Anolis sagrei: one gene and its partner. The protein of the gene in region 1 interacts with the protein of each later gene in a biochemical or structural test. Links are inferred from orthologs where the notes say so. Each region holds a gene or a part of one and is shown in the gene's direction. Other genes may lie near its edges.

What was found.
Region 2: the proteins of FERMT2 (region 1) and ILK form a complex in vitro, tested with the Homo sapiens proteins (2 studies listed by BioGRID). The link is inferred for Anolis sagrei from reciprocal best matches to the Homo sapiens genes FERMT2 and ILK.

What each region holds. Positions count from the first base shown.
Region 1 is NC_090021.1:339,284,258-339,296,298, reverse strand, and holds the start of FERMT2 (fermitin family homolog 2), read left to right. Parts: upstream 1-7,734; 5' UTR 7,735-7,804; intron 7,805-12,041. UniProt on the Homo sapiens protein: Scaffolding protein that enhances integrin activation mediated by TLN1 and/or TLN2, but activates integrins only weakly by itself. Binds to membranes enriched in phosphoinositides.
Region 2 is NC_090023.1:1,048,328-1,060,329, reverse strand, and holds the start of ILK (integrin-linked protein kinase), read left to right. Parts: upstream 1-7,036; coding exon 7,037-7,125; intron 7,126-8,195; exon of another isoform or gene 8,196-8,216; intron 8,217-12,002. Other genes in the region: RRP8 (ribosomal RNA-processing protein 8), read right to left, coding at 233-339, 484-613, 2,553-3,072, 3,989-4,271, 6,326-6,409. UniProt on the Homo sapiens protein: Scaffold protein which mediates protein-protein interactions during a range of cellular events including focal adhesion assembly, cell adhesion and cell migration.

The sequences.
Region 1 (12,041 bases):
GCACATTCCTTTCCACACTTGGAGCCTTGGTTTAATCAAGCGTTGTTATGAGATGAGGAACTGTGCATGAGGACACTGAGGCCACGTGGACTTAGATCGGTTCGTTAACTGTTCTCCTGGGTCATTCATGTAAACTGTTGGGGTTCAGCCTGAGTTTGAACTTGAACCTGATTCTCTGTTTGTTCCTCCTGATGCTAATGAAAGTATATTTACTGATGCTAATGAAAATGTACCTCTTGATGCCAATGTTCCTGAAATTAGTGAGGAAGAAACTGCTGTAGGTTTGGAAAATGCCAATGTTCCTGAAATTAGTGAGGAAGGAACTTCTGTAGATTTGGAAAATGAAAGTACCAGTGTTCATGAGAATGTTTCAGAGGGAAGCCATGACCTTTCACTCCCTTCTGCACCTGGGAACTTCAATGAGAACAGAAGGGGCCAGATTTGGCAAGACAGAAGCAAATCACTCAGCTTGCGAAGGTCTTCCCGATTAAAAGAAATACAAATAACGGCTTCAAAGCAGAGGGGCGGTTCACGGACCAATTCTTCGGCTTTAAGTGCCTTCCGCCGGGCTGACTTTCTCAGTTCAGGCATCGTTTCAGATTGATGAAGACCTTGGCAGTTCTCCCGGTTTCCCTGGCCATGGTCTTGAAAGATTTCTAGGATATCAAGTACGGTTAGTGGATTGCTAACAGGTTCCAGTATTTTACAGTGTGGCTTTGGGTTTTGCTTTGTCCATTTAAATTCATGTTTGCTGATTTTGCTGTGGCTTTTGACTTTGCATTTTTCCTTTATTTTGTAACCATTTTTCTTCAATAAAAAATGATTGTTTTTCACAGTCAAGTGTGGTGGGTAGTTATCTTAGGGCCTCGTTCCCTGCTCTGGATTGCAACATAAACTATCAATCGTCACAGTGCCATTCTGTTGTTGGTTTTCTGACACAACCATTGTGGTGTTGTTGCTCATTCATTCATACATTTTAACATATGTATTTTAAATAATGTTTCATAACGAGGAGAGATAGGTATAACATGCAACAACACCGCCATCAATAATTTCACATAATTTCCAGGTAGGACCATTGCTTTTGGTTGTTTTACTTGCCCAGGGGATGCCCGGATGTTTTGATGTTTTACCACTTTTGTGGGAGGCTTCTCTCATGTCCCCATGTGGGGAGCTGTAGCTGACAGAGGGAGCTCATTCACTCTCTTCCCAGATTTGAATCTGTGACCTGTTGGTCTTCAGTCCTGCCCGCACAAGGGTTTAACCCATTGTGCCACCGATGATACTAAGCATAAAAATAATAACAAAAATAACATTATAAAATAATTAAAGTTGGGCTATATATTAAATTTTTTAAACTTCATCTATATCTAAATGCTCTGTGCATAATGAGTTCCTTAAAAACAAAAGAACCAATGAACGAAATCACACCAAATTTGGCAACAAAATGTCTCACAACACAAGGAGTGACCATCACTCAAAAAGTATGAATTTGTCATTTGGGAGTTGTAGTTGCTGGGATTTATAGTTCACCTACAATCAAAGAGCATTCTGAACTCCACCAACGAGGGAATTGAACCAAAATTGGCACCAGAATTCCCATGACTAACAGACAACACTAGAAGGGTTTGGTGGGTATTGACATTGAGTTTGGGAGTTGTAGTTCACCTACATCCAGAGAGCACTGTGGACTCAAACAATGATGGATCTGGATCAAAGTTGGCACAAGCACTCAATATGCCCAAATATGAACACAGATGGAGTTTGGGGGAAATAGACCTTGACATTTGGGAGTTGTAGTCACTGGGATTCACAGTTCACCAAAGAGCATTCTGAACCCCACGAACGACAGAATTGGGGCAAACTTCCCACACTAAACCCCCATGACCATCAGAAAGTACTTAAGACCATCCAATCCAACTCCCTTCATCAGGGCAAGAAAACGTAATCAAAGTCCTCCTGACAAAGAGCCATCCAGCCATAGATATAGATAGATAGATAGATAGATAGATAGATAGATAGATAGATATGATTCACACACAGAGAGATATAGTATCATAGATTTGAAAGGGACCCCTAAAGAAGGACAATTATATGTCGCATGTTCCATAGTAGGCAAACTAGACAATCACCACATCAACATTGGCATAGAAACAACAAGGAATACTGTTTACCCACAAGCATAAAGGGATTACAAATATTAGAAACCATTACTTTATTTTCCAGATCACCAGACTGGGCCACAGCAATGCGTGGCAGGGGATGGCTAGTATATTCTAAAGCACAAGGAAACCGAAGGACAAGGCAATCCCTTCATGGGCCCCTTGATCACTTATTATTCTTAGAATCATAGAATCAAAGAGTTGGAAGAGACCTCCTGGGCCATCCAGTCCAACCCCATTCTGCCAAGAAGCAGGAATGTTGCATTCAAATCACCCCTGACAAATGGCCATCCAGCCTCTGCTTAAAAGCTTCCAAAGAAGGAGCCTCCACCACACTCCGGGGCAGAGAGTTCCACTGCTGAACGGCTCTCACAGTCAGGAAGTTCTTCCTCATGTTCAGATGGAATCTCCTCTCTTGTAGTTTGAAGCCATTGTTCCATTGCGTCCTAGTCTCCAAGGAAGCAGAAAACAAGCTTGCTCCCTCCTCCCTGTGGCTTCCTCTCACATATTTATACATGGCTATCATATCCCCTCTCAGCCTTCTCTTCTTCAGGCTAAACATGCCCAGCTCGTTAAGCCGCTCCTCATAGGGCTTGTTCTCCAGACCCTTGATCATTTTAGTCGCTCTCCTCTGGACACATTCCAGCTTGTCGATATCTCTCTTGAATTGTGGTGCCCAGAACTGGACACAATATTCCAGATAATGTGGTCTAACCAAGGCAGAATAGAGGGGGTAGCATTACTTCCCTAGATCTAGACACTATGCTCCTATTGATGCAGGCCAAAATCCCATTGGCTTTTTTCTTCCTCTGTGTGTGTGTGTATATATATATATGTATAATAGATACACGCACATATAATTTAGAAGGTATGTCTTTGGCAGAGTCCACTGCGTTTGGTTGTTTTACTTGTACAATGCCATATACATTGATGGCAACAAATTAAAAAATGCAATAATGCTAGAAATCATAATATAGACCGGGCTATAAATTAAAATTTAAACCCTGCTATTATCACATGAAAGAACACCGGATTTGATTGTTTAACATATAGATGGATGGCCCTAAATAAATAATACAGGCTAATAAAAGCTGAGCTATAAATTAAAAAGGAAACACCAACTCTTCTGAGGCGAGAGGAAAACGGAGGACAAAGCAAGCTCCCCAGCGACCCTTTGTTTCCTTATTATTTCTTTGTTGTGTGCGTGTGTGTGTGCCTATATAAAAGTGGTAGGACTTGTTGAGTGGTTTTACTTGTACAGCGGAGGGTGCTATCTATCCATGCTAGGCCCCTTCCACACAGCTATCTAGCCATCTTTCTATCTATGCTAGGCCCCTTCCACAAAGCCATCAATCAATCAGTCAATCAATGCTAGGCCCCTTCCGCACATTCATTCATCTATCTATCTATCCTGGGCCTCTTCTGCACAGCCAGCTATTTATCTATCTATCTATCTATCTATCTATCTATCTATCTATCTATCTATCTACCTACCTACCTACCTAGCTACCGTATCTATCTATCTATCCTAGGCTCCTTCCACACAGATATCTATCTATCCATCAATCTACTGTATCTATCTCTACATCTATTTATCTACCTACCTACCTACCTACCTACTCTATCTATCTATCTATCTATCCATCCATCCATCTATCCTAGGCTCCTTCCACACAGATATCTATCTATCCATCTATCTATCTACTGTATATATCTCTACATCTACCTACCTACCTACCGTATCTATCCATCCATCTATCCTAGGCTCTTTCCACACATCCATCTATCTATCTATCTATCTATCTATCTATCTATCTATCTATCTATCTATCTAACTATCTCTATATCTACCACGTCTATCTATCTCTTCATCTATCTATCCATCCTAGGCCCCTTCCACACAGATATCTATCTATCTATCTATCTATCTATCTATCTATCTATCTATCTATCTATCTATCCACCCATCCATCTACCTCTACATCTATTTATCTATCTACCTGCCTACCGTATCTATCTATCCACCCATCTATCTTAGGCTACTTCTACACAGATATCTATCTATCCATCCATCCATGTACCGTATCTATCTCTACATCTATTTATCTATCTACCTACCTACCGTATCTATCTATCCATCCATCCATCCATCCATCTACCGTATCTAACTATCTCTACATCTATTTATCTATCTACCTGCCTACCAGATCTATCTATCCATCCATCTATCCTAGGCTCTTTCCACACATCTATCTATCTATCTATCTCTCTATCTACCGCGTCTATCTATCTCTCCATTCTAGGCCCCTTCTACACAGATATCTATCTATCCATCTATTTATCTCGACATCTATTTATCTATCTACCTGCCTACCGTATCTATCTATCCATCCATCTATCCTAGGCTCTTTCCACACATCTATCTATCTATCTATCTATCTATCTATCTATCTATCTATCTATCTCTCCATCTATCTATCCATCCTAGGCCCCTTACAATAGATAGATAGATATCTGTGTGGAAGGAGCCTAGGATAGATGGATGGATGGATGGATGGATGGATGGATAGATAGATACGGGAGGTAGGTAGGTAGATGTAGAGATAGATACAGTAGATAGATCGATGGATGGATAGATAGATATGGTAGGTAGGTAGATAGATAAATAGATGTAGAGAGAGATACGGTAGATGGATGGATGGATATCTGTGATGGATGGATATCTGGATGGATGGATATCTTCCACACATCTATCTATCTATCTCTCTATCTACCGCATCTATCTATCTCTCCATTCTAGGCCCCTTCTACACAGATATCTATCTATCTATCTATCTATCTCTACATCTATTTATCTACCCTATCTATCTATCTATCCATCCATCCATCTTATCTATCTATCTTATCTATCTATCCATCCATCCATCTATCTTATCTATCTATCTTATCTATCTATCCATCCATCCATCCATCTTATCTATCTTATCTATCTATCCATCCATCCATCTTATCTATCTATCTTATCTATCTATCCATCCATCTATCTTATCTATCTATCTATCTATCTATCTATCTTATCTTATCTATCTATCTACCTATCCATCTTTCTATCTACCTATGCATCTATCTACCTATCTATCTATCTTCAAAAAGGGGGAAAGAACAGACTGTGGAAACTATCGAGGTATCTCCCTTCTAACCTCCGCTGGGAAAATCCTCGCAAGAATCCTTGCAAACCGCCTTCTGCCCCTCTCAGAAGACACCCTCCCAGAATCTCAGAATGGCTTCCGCCCCTCCAGAGGAACCGTGGATATGATCTTCACTGCACGACAGCTCCAAGAAAAATGCAGAGAACAAAACCAACCTCTGTACATGGCATTCATCGACCTTGCCAAGGCATTCGACACAGTGAATCGCAGCGCTCTCTGGACCATCCTCCAAAAAATCGGGTGCCCAAGCAAATTTGTGAACATCCTGCGGCTCCTCCATGATGACATGATGGCAACAGTCTTGGACAGCAATGGCTCCCAAAGTGACCCATTTAAAGTGGAATCCGGTGTCAAACAGGGATGTGTTATTGCCCCAACTCTATTCTCCATCTTCATTGCTATGATACTTCACCTTGTTGATGGGAAGCTTCCCACCGGAGTGGAAATAATCTATCGGACAGATGGCAAGCTATTCAACCTCAGCAGACTGAAAGCCAAAACCAAGGTTACAACAACAGCTGTTATAGAACTCCAGTATGCTGATGACAATGTCGTCTGTGCGCATTCAGAAGAAGATCTACAAGCCACTCTAAACACCTTCGCAGATGCATACGAGAAGCTCGGCCTGTCGCTGAACATTGAGAAAACCAAAGTGCTGTTCCAGCAGTCACCAGCCAATCCCTCTCCAATGCCAGTGATACAGCTTAATGGTGTAACATTAGAAAATGTTGACCATTTCCGCTACCTTGGCAGTCACCTCTCCACCAGTCAACATCGACGCCGAAATACAACACCGCCTGAGCTCTGCAAGTGCAGCATTTTCCAGAATGAAGCAGAGAGTGTTTGAGGACCGGGACATCCATAGGGATACCAAGGTGCTTGTCTATAAAGCTATTGTCCTCCCAACCCTGCTCTATGCCTGTGAGACGTGGACTGTCTACAGACGTCACATGCAGCTCCTGGAACGTTTCCATCAGCGCTGCCTCCGGAAAATCCTGCAAATCTCCTGGGAAGACAAGCGGACAAACGTCAGCGTGCTGGAAGAAGCAAAGACCACCAGCATTGAAGCGATGGTCCTCCAACATCAACTCCGCTGGGCCGGCCACGTTGTCCGGATGCCTGACTACCGTCTCCCAAAGCAGTTGCTCTACTCTGAACTCAAGAAAGGAAAATGGAATGTTGTTGGGCAGGAAAAGAGATTGAAAGATGGGCTCAAACCCAACCTTAAAAACTCTGGCATAGACGCTGAGAACTGGGAAGCCCTGGCCCTTGAGCGCTCCAGCTGGAGGTCAGCTGTGACCAGCAGTGCTGCAGAATTTGAGGAGGCACGAGTGGAGGGCGAAAGAGAGAAACGTGCCAGGAGGAAGGCGCGTCAAGCCAACCCCGACCGGGACCACCTTCCACCTGGAAACCAATGCCCTCACTGCGGAAGAAGATGCAGAGCAAGAATAGGGCTCCACAGCCACATACGGACCCACAGGGAAATCCATAATGGAAGACCATCTTAGTCGTCCAACGAGGGATCGCCTAAGTAAGTAAGTAAAGTAAGATCCATCCATCTACCTATCCATCCATCCATCCATCTATCTACCTATCCATCTATCTATCTACCTACCTACATATCTATCTACCTATCCATCCATCCATCTATCGATCCATCCATCTACCTATCCATCCATCCATCCATCCATCCATCTATCTATCTATCTATCTATCTATCTATCTATCTACCCATCCATCCATCTATCTATCCATCTATCTACCTATCCATCCATCCATCTATCTATCGATTGATCCATCTATCCATCCATCTATCTATCTATCCATCCATCTACCTATCCATCTATCTATCTATCTACCTACCTATCCATCCATCCATCCATCCATCCATCTATCTATCTATCCATCTACCTATCTATCTATCTATCTATCTATCTATCTATCCATTCATCTATCTATCCATCCATCCATCCACCCACCCACCCACCCACCTACCTACCTACCTATCCATCTATTCATGCATCTATCTATCTACCTACCTACCTACCTACCTACCTACCTATCTATCTATCTATCTATCTATCTATCTATCTATCTATCTATCCATCCATCCATCTACCTATCCATCTATCTTAAGAGCAGAGACTGGGCAAGCTTGTGTTCCCCTCAGGGAAGTTTTCCCGCCCTTTCTTCCTTCCTTCCTTTCTTTCCTCCTCCTCCTCCCCCTCCCCTCTGAGGAAAGGCGCGGAGACCCGGATGTTCCCTCCCTCCCTCCCTTTCAGGCGGAGAGGAGGGAAAGGGGGAGGAGAAGAAGGAGGAGGAGAAGGGGAGGGAAAGAAGGAAAGAAAGAAAGGGAGGGAGGGAGGAGGGTCCCGCCTTCTTCTTCTCCTGCTTCTCCTTCCATTCAGCGCTTGGAGGGAGAAGCGAGAAGAGGTAATACAGCGGGAGAGGGAGATAGATTTGTGTGTTTGTGTGTCTGAGGGGAATGAGGCCTAGTGTGGAGTTGAAGGCCTTCCAGGCCTGGCCCAACTTGGGCCTTCCCTCCAGGGGGTTTGGACTCCAACTCCCACAATTCCTAACAGCCGATAGGCTGTTAGGAATTGTGGGAGTTGGAGTCCAAACCCCCTGGAGGGAAGGCCCAAGTTGGGCCAGGCCTGCTATGGACTCAATGAGAGGAATACACTCCTCCTTTTGCTCCTCCTTTGACTTTCTCTCCTTCTTCCAATTCATTTTGGGACCCTCTCCTTTTGCTTTCACTCTCTATTTGCTTTCCCTTTCCTTTCTCTCCTTCCAATTCATTTTAGGACCCTCTAAGATGGGAAACCTATTTGGGGTCTTCCCCCCCTTTTATGATATGGACAATATGGAAGCCTCCCCCACCCCTTTAATGAGTGGGATATGTTTGTTATTGACCTTGCTAGGTTGGGAATTGTATGTGAAGAATATAGGTTTTTTTTCTCCTCCATTGTTTTCCCCACTTTTATTTTAATTTCCTTCCTTCTAAACTGTGGAATATTGTTTCTGAGGGGATTCATTTCTGGACCCTCTCCTCACAACCTCTTGCCATACATGTAGGCGAAATGTCAGGAGAGAATGCTTCTAGAACGTGGCCAAACTAATTTCCCTTTACTTTTTCTCCTTCTAAACTGTGGGATGTTATTTGTGGGGGATTTATTTTAGGACCCTCTCCATTGCTTTCACTCTTCTTCCTCTGCTGGGAAAACTTAATTTCCTCACAACCTCTTGCCATAGATATAGGCGAAACGTCAGGAGAGAATGCTTCTAGGGCATGGCCATATATAGCCCAAAAAACCTACAACAACCCAAACTAATTCCCCTTTACTTTCTCGCCTTCTAAACTTTGTAATATTATTTGTGGGGGATTTAACATCTTGCCATAGATGTAGGCGAAACGTCAGGAGAGAATGCTTCTAGAACGTGGCCATACAACCCAAAAAACCTACAACAACCCAAGCTAATTTCCCTGTACTTTCTCTCCTTCCAATTCATTTTAGGGCCCTCTACTTTGAAAATGTAATGTCCTCACAACCTCTTGCCATAGATATAGGCGAAATGTCAGGAGAGAATGCTTCTAGAATGTGGCCATATAGCCCAAAAAACCTACAACAACCCAAACTAATTTCCCTTCACTTTCTCTCCTTCTAAACTGTGGAATATTATTTGTGGGGGATTTATTTTAGGAACCTCTCCTTTGCTTTCACTCTTCCTCTGCTGGGAAAACTTAATTTCCTCACAACCTCTTGCCATAAGATGCAGGCGAAACGTCAGGAGAGAATGCTTCTAGAATGTGGCCATATAGCCCAAAAAACCTACAACAACCCAAACTAATTTCCCTTTATTTTCTCTCCTTCTAAACTGTGGAGTATTATTTGTGGGAGGATTCATTTCAGGACCCTCTCCTCACAACCACTTGCCATAGATGTAGGCAAAACGTCAGAAGAGAATGCTTCTAGGAGGTGGCCATATAGCCCCAAAAACTTACAACAACCCAAACTAATTTCCCTTTACTTTCTCTCCTTCCAGTTCATTTTAGGACCCTCTACTTTGACTTTCACTCTTGCCATAGATGTAGGCGAAACGTCAGGAGAGAATGCTTCTAGGACGTGTCCATATAGCCCAAAAAACCTACAACAACCCAAACTAATTTACCTTTATTTTCTTTCTTTCTAAACGGTGGAATATTGTTTCTGAGGGGATTCATTTCAGGACCCTCTCCTCACAAGCTCTTGCCATAGATGTAGGCGAAACGTCAGAAGAGAATGCCATAGACATGGCCATAGAGCCCAAAAAATCCACAACAACCCAAACTAATTTCCCTTTACTTTCTCTCCCTCCAATTCATTTTAGGACCCTCTCTTTTTGCTTTCACTCTAAGATGGGAAACCTATTTGGGGTTTTCTCCCCTTTTAAGATATGGAATGTATGAAGACAATATGGAAGCCCCTGCCCCTTTCTTAAGTTTATTATTATCATCATTATCAATTATTGTAATGGTGAATATAGAAAATGCATTGGTTAGGCAGATATTATTCTATTATTATTATTATTATTATTATTATTATTATTATTCTGTTGTTATTATTATTATTGATGGAAGATCTTAAAAATGACTTGGATAGGCAGCTAATATTATTATTACTACTAATAGTCATGGAGGACCTAGAAAATGCTTCAGAGACACGGGTATTATTATTATTAGCAGATACTTTTGCTATTGACTATTTTAGGCTGGGAACTCTATGTGATGAATATGGGGGTTTCCCCTCTACTTTCCCCACTTCCCTTTTATTTTCTCTCCTTCTAAGCTGTGGGATATTGTTTGTGGGGGAATTCCTTTTAGGGCCCTCTCTTTTGCTTTCACTCTTTCTCAGCTGGTAAACCTATTTGGGGTCTCCACCATTTTAGCCTATGGAATGAAATGACCCCCCCCCCCCCCATTTACTTTGCACCCTTCCAGGCTGTGATGTGTATGTGAGGATTGGAGTCTCTCTTTCTTCAGCCATAGAATGCATGAGGGGAGTATCCCTTTCTAAGCGGTGGGATGCATGTGCAAACATTAGGGAATTGTGTGGGGGGAATATCGACGACGAATTGGATCACGACTTTAGTTATGAGATGCATTGTGTTGTTTACTGTTGTGTCAATATTGTATATTATGCTCTTATGATTTTAAATTGTATATCATTGATTGATTTTTATCCTTGTTGTAAACTGCGTTGAGTCGCCTGTTGGGCTGAGAAACTGCGGTATACAAGTAAAGTAAAGTAAATAAATAAATATGGGAATGAACTATCCCCCTCCCTCATTTTAGGCCAGGGTGCCCCCCCCCCTTACTTTCACTTTACTATCTCTCCTAAGTTGTGGAATATTATATATATAGCTTCATCTTGGGACTCCCCCCCCCCCCTTGCTTTCACTCTTTGTAATCTGAGAAAGCTTTTTGGGGTCCCGTTCCCCCCTTTAAGGTGCCCCCAGTGGCGCAGTGGGTTAAAGCACTGAGCTGCTGAGCTTCTTGACCGAAAGGTCGCAGGTTCGATTCCGGAGAGCGGCGTGAGCGTCCACTGTCAGCACTAGCTTCTGCCAACCTAGCAGTTCGAAAACATGCAAATGTGAGTAGGTACTGCTCCGGCGGGAAGGTAACGACGCTCCATGCAGTCATGCCGGCCACATGACCTTGGAGGTGTCTATGGACAACGCTGGCTCTTCGGCTTAGAAATGGAGATGAGCACCACACCCCAGAGTCAGACATGACTGGACTTAATGTCAGGGGACAACCTTTACCTTTAACCTCCCCCCTTTAAGCTATGTCCCCCTTTACTTCAGGATGTATGAAGGGAATATGGGTGCAGTGTGCGCAGTGTGTTTATGCTTTCTGAGCTGTGAACCGTTTGTGGGGATGGGGCTCCATACTTGCCCCCCCCCCTATAGTTAGTGGAATATATTGGGGGATATGGAAGATTTTAATTAGGCCTGGGCCAACTTGGGCCTTTTCTCCAGGTGTTTTGGACTTTAACTTCTACAATTCCTAACTGCTGGTAGGCTGTTAGGAATTGTGGGAGTTGAAGTCCAAAACACCTGGAGGGCCCAAGTTGGCCCATGTCTGCTTTTAACAGCTGATATTAATTATGATTATTGGAAAGCTATATAAATGCATGTCTGTTGAAGAACAGACATTACAATAATACTTTGATTGTTTACAAATTCCATTTTATGTCAGGTGTTGTCCTTGCACAGCAATGTGCCGCTCACGTTGTCAAACCGCGCTCGCTTAAAGTTTCTCTTGCAGTTTTATCAGCACGAGTCTTATCATAATAATCGTGATACTATTGATGCTTGAATACATGTTTTGGAAAATAAATGCAGCTTTACCTTCAGAATTATTATAAGCTGTTAAGGGTGTGCAGACATGTATATGCAGACATGCACATTTGTAGGAGCTTCTTTTTTCCACCTTGGCCTCTCTTTTCAGTTTTAGTTCACCTATTTCTACATTCGTTCCACCAGAAATTGAGGATTCAGTTTGTTTGCCCTGTTTAGTTTTCAGCAGCCCTAGTTTTCTGTTTGCTGCTCTTGTCGGAAGGCCACCCCTTTCATCATTATCTTGGAGAAGAACGTGTGTGTTACCCTTCTTTCTCTTTCCCTTTCTTTC
Region 2 (12,002 bases), on another chromosome or scaffold:
GGCACTGCGCCCAGTGTGCCGATCACCACTGGGACCATCTTTACTGGCTTGTACCAGAGTCTTTGTATTATTATTATTATTATTGGTCCATTGCGTCCTGGTCTCCAGGGCAGCAGAAAATAAGCCTGCTCCCGTCTCCCTAGGACTTTTGCTCACATATTTATACATGGTTATCACGTCTCCACCAATGTTACGAAGTGTGATTATTTTGAAGCCTGCAGCAGACACTCACCCCATGCGCAGCACTCGGCTGGCCTCCGCCAGGATCTCTTGCACGTTGGTCCCCATGAGGGCCAAACAGAAGACGGCCACGTCCACCGACTCGTCTTCCAGAGGGACCTGAACGGAGGAAAGAAGAACAAGGCACGCAGGTGAGGGGCAGGGGGCCACCAGCTCATGGGGCCCCATGGGTCTCTCAGGGGAACCGCTTGCCCAAAGGAGCCCCAGCCGCGGCCATCAGTGCCACGGCCCTCCCCTCCGTACCTGGCTCATGTCGCAGACGATGACGCGCGGGTCCAGCGCCTCCAGATCGAAGCAGTGCACCTGGTTCCGGACGCTGCGCGCAAGAGTGCAGTCGCCACAGCCGAAGTCGGCCACCACCAGAGAAGCCGGCCTGGGTTGAGAGGGAGGAGAGAGAGCAGTGGGGTGAGAGCCATGGAATCCTAGTTGAGCTGGAAGAGGCCACAAGGGCTGCCTAGCCAAGTCCCCTTCTGCCAGGCATCCTCTCAACAGACAGCCATTCTATTTAGCTCAGGCACGGGCCAACTTGGGCCCTCCCTCCCTCCCTCCAGGGGTTTTGGACTTCAACTCCCACCATTCCTAACAGCCTCAGGCCCCTTCCTTTTCCCCCTCGGCAGCCTCAGTCATGTTAGCATATCGTTTGGTACCATTTTCCAGACTTCCTTATACCATTCACTAATCTGTATTTTCATTTCCCCTTTCCAATATTTTGCAATTAATAATCTAGCATGCCAATGATATTTTCCCCCTTCTTTTTTAAATTAAAAGTAACATTTCTACGGGAATCCTTCTAATTTTTATAGTTATTTATTTCAAATTGTACAGTCATGCTTTTAATGCCAATTTGCATCTCCTCCAGGAGAGACAGAGTGGAGTATTATTATTATTATTATTAATAATAATAATAATAATAATAATAACGTTCACTCCGATCATCTGGAGAGACCCTGCTCGTGATCCCGCCCGCGTCACAAGCGCGTTTGGTGGGGACACGGGACAGGGCCTTCTCTGTGGTGGCCCCCCGCCTCTGGAATGCCCTCCCGAAAGACCTCAGACAAGCCCCTACATTGGCAGTCTTCAGAAAGAATTTGAAAATCTGGCTGTTCCAATGTGCCTTCTCAGACTAGGAACCCCAGTACCAAATCCCAGAAGCACTTTAGTCAGAACCAAGATCACCGCACACTGCACTTATACTATAACCCCATATCCCTCCGACACATCAGCACTTTTAATCCTGTACCCCCACTCTGGCCGGCCCGGTTTTAATAATGTCTTGTTGTACTACTTTTGTTATTGTTTTGCTTAACTATTTACTTGCTAGGTACTGTTGTATTGTTGTATTGTTGTATCTGTGTGGGCTTCGGCCTGTTGTAAGCCGCATCGAATCCCTTGGGAGATGCTAGCGGGGTACAAATAAAGTTATAATAATAATAATAATCACCCTATTCATATCTGTACACATTATTTGCCAACACATCACACAGTCCTAGACACTTGGGGTAGTGTCTGACATGTGATGATATACAAAAGCCAGCAAAGTGATCTTGTTGGCTTTGGAGTAATAATAATAATAATAATAATAATAATAACAATAATCTTTATTTCTACCCCGCCACCATCTCCCCGCTGGGGACTCGGGTCGGCTTACATGAAGCCAAGCCCAGACAACAAATTACAGCAGAAGAAAACGGAAAACGCAAACAATAAACAACAGCATCATAATTACATAACACATATGAATACATAACAATATAAAATTACAATAAACACAATCACAATGACAATTGTATATTACAATGGGCAGGCTACATGTAATGATTAAAAGAAAACTAATTAAAAACTGATTCAGAACTCGAGCGAGATAAGGAGAAACAGGAGTAATCAAATAATAATCATCATAGAATCCTAGAATCAAAGAGTTGGAAGAGACCTCATGGGCCGTCCAGTCCAACCCCATTCTGCCAAGAAGCAGGAATATTGCATTCAAATCACCCCTGACAGATGGCCATCCAGCCTCTGCTTAAAAGCTTCCAAAGAAGGAGCCTCCACCACACTCCGGGGCAGAGAGTTCCACTGCTGAACGGCTCTCACAGTCAGGAAGTTCTTCCTCATGTTCAGATGGAATCTCCTCTCTTGTAGTTTGAAGCCATTGCTCCCTTGCATCCTAGTCTCCAGGGAAGCAGAAAGGAAGCCTGCTCCCTCCTCCTCCCTGTGGCTTCCTCTCACATATTTATACATGGCTATTATCATCATCATCAACTCCGCAAGTGTCCCCCGAGGGGCACAGGCAAAGGGGGAAGGGGAGTTCTCACCTGTGGCGCAGGTAGCGCACAATGCGCTGGACGGGCTTTTCCGGCCAGTGGTCCATCTGCCGGGCAAATCCCCGGTGGTAGATGGCGAAGGCCTGGGGGTCCTCCTTGAAGAGCTGCCCCGCTTCCTGGCTGGGCCGGCAGTACAGCTGCTGGTTGAGGAAGCGGAAGCGCGCGGCCTCCAGGCGCTCCTCCATGCGCAGCCGCAGGGACGCCCCCCGCCCCCCTTCGGCCTTTGGGAGCGCCGCCACGGCCTCCCCTTCTGACCCCTTTCCCGGGCTGCCAGGGGGCTCTCCTGGGTCTGGGGGCTGGGCTACGTCCGCTGGGGCCCCCCCTGCAGCCGATGCGTCCCCCGGGCTCTTGTACTTGTTCTTCTGCCGACGCTTGTTCTTCTGGCGGTTCCTCCACTGCTTCCTGCTCAGCAGCGGCCCCTTCGGCTCCTCCTTGGTGGCCCCCTCCTCGCTGCCAGGGGTCTTCCTGCAGGTGAAGGGCTCGGTTCTGGGCTCCGAAGGCGCTGCCTCACCTGGGAAGAAAAGCACTCACTGCACTGGGTGCATAAACACTCCTCTCCAGGGAGAGCAACTGGGGACAGAGGGAGCCCTGCAGTGCCTGCCTGCTGCCTTACTTTGGCTCCACTTCCTCAAACTGTCTAGCTCAAGGCAGTTCTCTTTCCTGCCCCACTTGCAAAGGTCAGCTCCCTTCTTCCCAAAAGTCTTTAGTGTGCCTTCCTTGCTCCTTTTGTTTGAGAAGGGAGCGCTGTGAGGCTCCTCTCTGCCTCAAGATGCCCGGCACACAGATATGAACCGAATTTTTATGAATTATTGCCACCTGGCAGATGGCACACAGTGACAAAGACAAGGACAAACAGCTTTTATCCTAGTGCTATCCATGGTTTTGCAATGATGTAGCACTGGGGGCTGTGCAGGGGTGATGGGGGTGTAGAAGGATGGGTGTGTTGTTTTGTAATATAATACTATAATACTAGTAATACAATATTATAATTATATATTTATATTATATGTAATATTACTAATAATATTACAATATAATGGTATAGTGCAATATAGTAATATATAATACTATTGTACTATGCAAATAATATAATATTTTGTATTTAAATATATCTTGCAAGCCACTCTGAGTCCCCTTCAAGGTGAGAATTATTATGCACAAGAATCAAAGTCATTGTTTACCTTTTCTTTGCACCTTGTCAAGGCGTCTTCCTGCACACGTTTCTCCTCTTTATCCCACCATAGACTTATACGTAGGCAGTGCTGGCTCATACTTTGGCCCTCCAGTTGTTTTGGACTACAAGTCCCACAATTCCTCAAACATTTGGAGTTGAAATCCAAAACTCCTGGAGGGAGGGCGGAAGTTGCCTCATGCCTGGGCTACAGTGTTATGTTACTAATGAATGGGGCCTCAGCCCTGCCACCCACCATTGTTGCCCGGCTGCTTCTGCTGGTGGTCGCCCTTCTTCTCGGCTCCCGAGGGGAGGCAGGGCTGCTCCTCCCGCTGCCGTGTCCTCCTGGGCTTCCTCTTCCTCCGCTTCCGCTGGGGCTTCTCCTCTTCCTCCCCGCTGCCTTCCTCATCCTCCTCCCCTTCTGACCCAGAGGAAGTGGGGCTAGGCGGGGCCTTCTGGGCGCCCCCCAAGCCTTCCAGGCGACGAAGCGTGGCCAGGAGGCGGAGGCGCTGGTGGGAGCCGCTCGGGGCTGGGGGGCCCTGCAGGGAGGAAAAACCAAAACATAGACTCATAGAGTTGGAAGAGACCACATGCAGGGGTCAGGAACCTTCGGCCCTCCAGGTGTGGTGGACTTCAACTCCCACAATTCCTTGAGGCTCGGTAAGCCTTTGGGGCGAATGCCGAGCCTCAAGGAATTGTGGGAGTTGAAGTCCACCACACCTGGAGGGCCGAAGGTTCCCCATGCCTGCCACATAGGGTCACCCAAGACTCTGCTTTAGAATCATAGAATCCTAGAGTTGGAAGAGTATAAATATGTGAGGGGAAGACATAGGTAGGAAACAGGATGCTTTCTTTTTGCTGCCCTGGAGACTAGGACACAATGGAGCCATGGCTTCAAACTACAAGAAAGGAGATTCCATCTGAACATGAGGAAGAACTTCCTGACTGTAAGAGCCGTTCAGCAGTGGAACTCTCTGGCCCGGAGAGAGTGTGGTGGAGGCTCCTTCTTTGGATGCTTTTAAACAGAGGCTGGATGTCCTTCTGTCGGGGGTGCTCTAAATGTGATATTCCTGCTTTTTGGCAGAATGGGGTTGGACTGGATGGCCTACAGTCTCTTCCAATTCTACGATTCTATGAGGCAGGCCTTCTGCGCTGCACTTCTGGGATCCCTGGCCTCTACTGGATGTAAATATTTTATGTTATATATATATATATATTTCAAAAACCTGCAAAACAGCGAGTCCGCTAAAAGAGAACCATGAAGTAGCGAGGGAACACCCTACTTTATAGATCGCCCTCTCTCCCCAAAGGGACTCAGGGCAGGTCACAACAAATATCAAAAATAGTAAACATTCAATGCCAGAACACAAATAACTACAGGAAAGGGGGATTCCACCTGAACATTGGGAAGAACTTCCTAACTGTTCTGGTGGAATCCTGTGAGAACTCTTGCTTCAGAGGGAGTGTGGTGGAGGCTCCTTCCTTCTTTGGAGGCTTTGAAGCAGAGGCTGGATGGCCATCTGTTTGGAGGGGTTGGCTCTTCATCACAACAACAATAATAATAGTGCTGGATGACCATCTGTGGCTCATCATCACAACAATAATAATAATTGGAGGGGTTGGCTCATCATCACAATAATAATAATAATAATAATAATAATAATAACTTTATTTGTCCCCTGCTAGCATCTCCCGAAGGGCTCGATGCAGCTTACACAGGCCAAGGCCTCAAAACACCATACAGCAATACAATACCTAAAGCAAATTAAAAACCAGTTAAGTAGAATAAACAACAAGCAATAAACAATACATCAAGACACTATAAAACTGGGCCGGGCCAGAGTCATGGGTACAAGATTAAAAGTGCTGATGTGGCAGGAGGTATGTAGGATTATAGGGCAAGTGCAGTGTGCGGTGTGCAGCGATCTTAGTTCTACTAAAGTGCTTCTGGGACTTGGTATTGGAGATTCCTATTCTGGGAAGGCACATCGGAACAGCCAGGTCTTCAAGTTCTTTCTGAAGATTGCCAATGGAGGGGCCTGTCTAAGATCTTTGGGGAGGGTGTTCCAGAGTTGGGGGGCCACCACAGAAAAGGCCCTGTAACAACATTAGGAAGAACTTCCTGACTGTGAGAGCTGTTCAGCAGTGGAACTCTCTGCCGTGGAGTGTGGTGGAGGCTCCTTCCTTCTTTGGAGGCTTTGAAGCAGAGGCTCGATGGCCATGTGTTTGGAGGGGTTGGCTCATCATCACAATAATAATAATAGTTACAACATGAGGAAGAACTTCCTGACTCTGAGAGCTGTTCAGTGTTGGAACTCTCTGCCCTGGAGTGTGGTGGAGGCTCCTTCCTTCTCTGGAGGCTTTGAAGCCGAGGCTGGATGGCCATCTGTTGGGGGTGTTTTGAACGTGACTGCCCTGGATGGTAGCCAACTGGAGGATTGTAGGATTCTAAGGCCCAAACCAGAGGCTGGATGGCCATCTGTTGGGGGTGTTTTGAACGTGACTGCCCTGGATGGTAGCCAACTCGAGGATGGTAGGATTCTTAGGCCCAGGCCTTAGCCCAAGAGGACCCCCAGCCACCCCTTCTCCTCACCTTGCCCGCCCTCTTGGTTGTCCCCCAGGGCGCCGTCGTCCCCACCGAGGTCCCGCCCTCGTCCCACTCGCCCTCCTCGAACATCTTCCTCCCGGCGGCGGTGGAGCCAGGCAGGAAGGAGGGAAGCCCGGAAGTGGCACGCTGCGGACCGGAAGGAAGGAAGTAAGAAAGGAAGGAAGTTCCGGCGATAGAGAGGGAGAAGGAGAGAGCGCCCCCTGGAGGCCCCCTCCCTCCCTCCGTGCTGCCTTGTGGTAGTAGGAAGGAAGGAAGTTCCGGCGATAGAGAGGGAGACAGAGAGAGAGAGAGAGCGCCCCCTGGAGGCTCCCTCCCTCTCGGCTGCCTTGTGGTAGTAGGAAGGAAGTAAGTTCCGGCGATAGAGAGGGAGAAGGAGAGAGCGCCCCTGGAGGCTGGCTCCCTCCCTCCCTCCCTCCGTGCTGCCTTGTGGTAGTAGGAAGGAAGTCAGTTCCGGCGATAGAGAGGGAGACAGAGAGAGAGAGAGCGCCCCCTGGAGGCTCCCTCCCTCGGTGCGGCCTTGTGGTGGTAGTGATGCTAGTGTGGGCTCCGCCCTTGCAGTCCCTTGTCCGGCCAGGAGGGAGTGGGCGCCGCCCCGGGTGGGAGACCCACGCACAGCCACAGCCACGAAGGAGGGAGAGCTGAGGAGGAGCCTTCCTGCCTGCCTGCCTGCCTTCCTCCCTTCCTTGCAGTCCGGCCATGGACGACATCTTCGCGCAGTGCCGGGAGGGCAACGCCGTGGCCGTGCGGCTCTGGCTGGACAACACCGAGAATGACCTCAACCAAGGGTCAGTCTGATGGGCATCCGGATGGACCTCTCTCCGGAGGGGTTGGGACGGGTCCCGCCATGGCAGGGAGGGAGGAGGGAAAGAGGCAGGCCTGCTGGCCCTCTGCAGGGAGGGGTTAAACGGGGCCCGTGGGGGGTGGGGTGCTCTCCCAATCCAGCATGGAGACAGGCCTCCTTCTGGGACCTTTCAAAGGGGGCTGCTGGCCCTCTCTCCGGAAGGGTTGGCTCCTCATCATCACAACAACAACAACAACAATAGTCTTAGATACTTAATAATAGTCATCATCACAATAATAATAGTAATAGTAGTCCTAGACACTTAATAATACCAATAATAGTCTTAGACACTTAATAATAATAATAATAATAATAATAAGTCTTACACACTTAATAATAATAAGTCTTAGACACAATAATACTAATAATAGTCTTAGACAATAATAATAGTAAGTCTTAGACACTTAATAATAATAATAAGTCTTAGACATTTAATAATAATAAGTCTTAGACACTTAATAATAATAATAATAGTCTTAGACACTTAATAATAATAATAAGTCTTAGACACTTAATAATAATAATAAGTCTTAGATACTTAATAATAATAATAATGTCTTAGACACTTAATAATACTAATAATAGTCTTAGACAATAATAATAATAAGTCTTAGACACTTAATAATAATAATAAGTCTTAGACATTTAATAATAATAAGTCTTAGACACTTAATAATAATAATAATAGTCTTAGACACTTAATAATAATAATAATAAGTCTTAGACACTTAATAATAATAATAGTCTTAGACAATAATAATAATAATAGTCTTAGACATTTAATAATACTAATAATAGTCTTAGACATTTAATAATAATAATAATAAGTCTTAGACACTTAATCATCATCATCATCACAATAGTAATAATAATAATCCTAGACACTGAATCATCATCATCACAATGATAATAATTTTAATAATAATAATAACATTCCTAGACACTTAATAATAATAATCATAATCACAATAATAATCATCATCTTCAGGGGGCGCTCTCTCTCTCCCATAACCATGAGAATGACCTCAACCAAGGGTCAGTCAGACAGTCAGCTCCATGGGCCTCGGGGGGGGGGGGGGGGGGGACCTCTGTCGGGAGGGGTCGGGACGGGTCCCGCCATGGCACAAGGGAGGGAGGGAGGAGGAGGGAAAGAGGCAGAGCTACTGGCCCTCTACCGGGACGGGTTAAACAGGGCCCTGGGGGGGGGGTGCTCTCCCAATCCAGCATGGAGACAGGCCTCCTTCTGGGACCTTTCAAATGGGGCTGGCCCTCTCTCCAGAGGGGTTGGCAATAATAATAATAACAATAGTCCTAGACACGGAATAATAATAATAATCATCATCATCATCACAATAATAATAATAATAATAATAGTAGTAGTAGTCCTAGACACTTAATAATAATCATCATCATCATCATCATCATCACAGTAATTATAATTATAATCTTAGACACTTGGGAGATGTCCGACGTGTGGACTCATCTTGTAGTGCTTCAAATAATAATAATAGTAATAGTCTTTATTTATACTCCGTCACTATCTCCCGACTCAGGGCGGCTAACAATAATAGTAATAATCACAATAATAATAATAATAATAATAATAATAATAATTCTAGACACTTAATAATAATAATCACAATAATAATAGTCCTAGACACTTAATCATCATCATCATCACAATAGTAATAATAATAATAGTACTCCTAGACACTTAATAATAATAATAATAGTCCTATATACTTAATAATAATAATAATAATAATAATAACAGTCTTAGACAATAATAATAATCTTAGACACTTAATACTAATAATAGTCTTAGACACATAGTAATAACAATAATAGTCCTAGATACTTAATAATAATAATAATAACAATAATAGTAGTCCTAGACAATAATAATAATAATAATAGTCTTAGACACTTAATAATAATCATCACAATAATAGTAGTAGTAGTAGTCCTAGACAATTAATAATGTAAATTGCCTACAGCATTCTCGGATGGAGGGCGATTAATAAGTTATTAAATATGATGATGATGATGATGATGATGATGAATAATCATCACAACAATAATAATAATACTCCTAGAAACTTAATAATCATCATCATCATCACAATAATAATAATCCTAGACACTTAATAATAATAATAATCATCATCATGATAATAATAACAATAATAATAATAGTAATAGTCCTAGACACTTGGGAAGTGTCCAACGTGTCATCCAACACAACAGCCAACAGAGTGATCTTGTCTGCTGTGGACTCATCTTACAGCGTTTCTAATAATAATAATAATAATAATAATCTTTATTTAAACCACGCCACCATCTCCCGACTTGGGGCGGCTAACAACAACAACAACAATAATAATAATCTTAGACACATAATAATAATAATAATCCTAGACACTTAATAATAATAATAATCATCATCATGATAATAATAACAATAATAATAATAGTAATAGTCCTAGACACTTGGGAAGTGTCCAACGTGTCATCCAACACAACAGCCAACAGAGTGATCTTGTCTGCTGTGGACTCATCTTACAGCGTTTCTAATAATAATAATAATAATAATAATCTTTATTTAAACCACGCCACCATCTCCCGACTTGGGGCGGCTAACAACAACAACAACAATAATAATAATCTTAGACACATAATAATAATAATAATCCTAGACACTTAATAATAATAATAATCATCATCATGATAATAATAACAATAATAATAATAGTAATAGTCCTAGACACTTGGGAAGTGTCCAACGTGTCATCCAACACAACAGCCAACAGAGTGATCTTGTCTGCTGTGGACTCATCTTACAGCGTTTCTAATAATAATAATAATAATAATAATCTTTATTTAAACCACGCCACCATCTCCCGACTTGGGGCGGCTAACAACAACAACAACAATAATAATAATCTTAGACACATAATAATAATAATAATCCTAGACACTTGGGAGATGTCTGACATGTGACCCAATACAACAGCCAGCAGTGATCTTGTCAGCAGTGGACTCATCTTATTGTGTTTCAAATAATAATAATAATAATAATAATAATAATAATAATAATAATCTTTATTTATACCCTGCCACCATCTTCCAACTCGTGGTGGCTAACAATAATAGTAATCATAATCATAATAATCCTAGACACTTAATAATAATAATCATCAACACAGTAATAATAATAATAATAATAATAATAATAACAACAACAATAATAGTCCTACACACTTGGGAAGTGTCCAACGTGTGATCCAATACAACAGGCAGCAGAGTGACCTTGTCTGCTGTGGACTCATCCTGTTGTGTTTCTAATAATAATAATAATAATAATAATAATCTTTATTTATACCCCGCCACCATTTCCCCAAAGGGGACTCGGGACGGCTAATATGAGGCCAAGCGCAAAAATAGCAAAACTACAAAATAAGATATAGAATGCAGACAACAAAAAATTACATCAAAATAAAATACGTACAGTAGCAAAATAGGATAAATAAAACAAATTAACACAATATAAAATTGAACAGAATGGGCAGGCCAAAGGGACGAAGTAAAATGATAAAACCCTGGATGAGGTAGGAAAGAAAATATGGCATTGAGGGGAACCCCAAAAGAATAAACAATCATAACAGTAACATTAGGAAGAACTTCCCGACTGTATGAGAGAGCTGTTCAGCAGTGGAACTCTCTGCCTTGGAGTGTGGTGGAGGCTCCTTCAATGGAGTCTTTGATAGAGAGGCTGGGTGGCCATCTGTCGGGGGGGGGGTGCCTTGAGTGCGATTGTCTTGCTTCTTGGCAGAATGAGGTTGGACTGGATGATGGCCCACCAGGTCTTTTCCAACTCTAGGATTCTATGAGATGGTCATAAGTTGGAGATACCTTGAGATGTTTTAGAGGACCATAAGATGGAAATATCTTGAGATGTTTTAAATGGCCATAAGTTTGAGATATCTTGAGATGTTTTAGATTGCCATAAGTTGGAGATATCTTGAGATGTTTTAGATGACCATAAGATGGAGATACCTTGAGCTGTTTTAGATGACCATAAGATGGAGATACCTTGAGATGTTTTAGATGACCATAAGTTGGAAATACCTTGAGATGTTTTGGATGGCCATAAGTTTAGATGGCCATCTGTCAGGGGTGATTTGAATGCAATATTCCTGCTTCTTGGCAGGGGGTTGGACTGGATGGCCCATGAGGTCTCTTCCAACTCTTTGATTCTATGGCCATAAGTTGGAGATACCTTGAGAAGATGGCCATAAGTTGGAGATACCTTGAGATGTTTTAGATGACCATAAGATGGAGATACCTTGAGATGTTTTAGATGACCATAAGTTGGAGATACCTTGAGATGTTTTAGATGGCCATAAGTTGGAGATATCTTGAGATGTTTTAGATGGCCATAAGATGGAGATACCTTGAGATGTTTTAGATGACCATAAGATGGAGATACCTTGAGATGTTTTAGATGACCATAAGTTGGAGATACCTTGAGATGTTTTAGATGGCCATAAGTTGGAGATATCTTGAGATGTTTTAGATGGCCATAAGATGGAGATACCTTGAGATGTTTTAGATGACCATAAGATGGAGATACCTTGAGATGTTTTAAATGACCATAAGTTGGAGATATCTTGAGATGTTTTAGGTGACCATAAGATGGGCAACGTCCTTGCAGACGGCCAATTCTGGGCAACATCCCCTGGGCAACATCCTTGCAGACTGCCAATTCCGGGCAACATCCCCTGGGAAACGTCCTTGCAGATAGCCAATTCTGGGCAACGT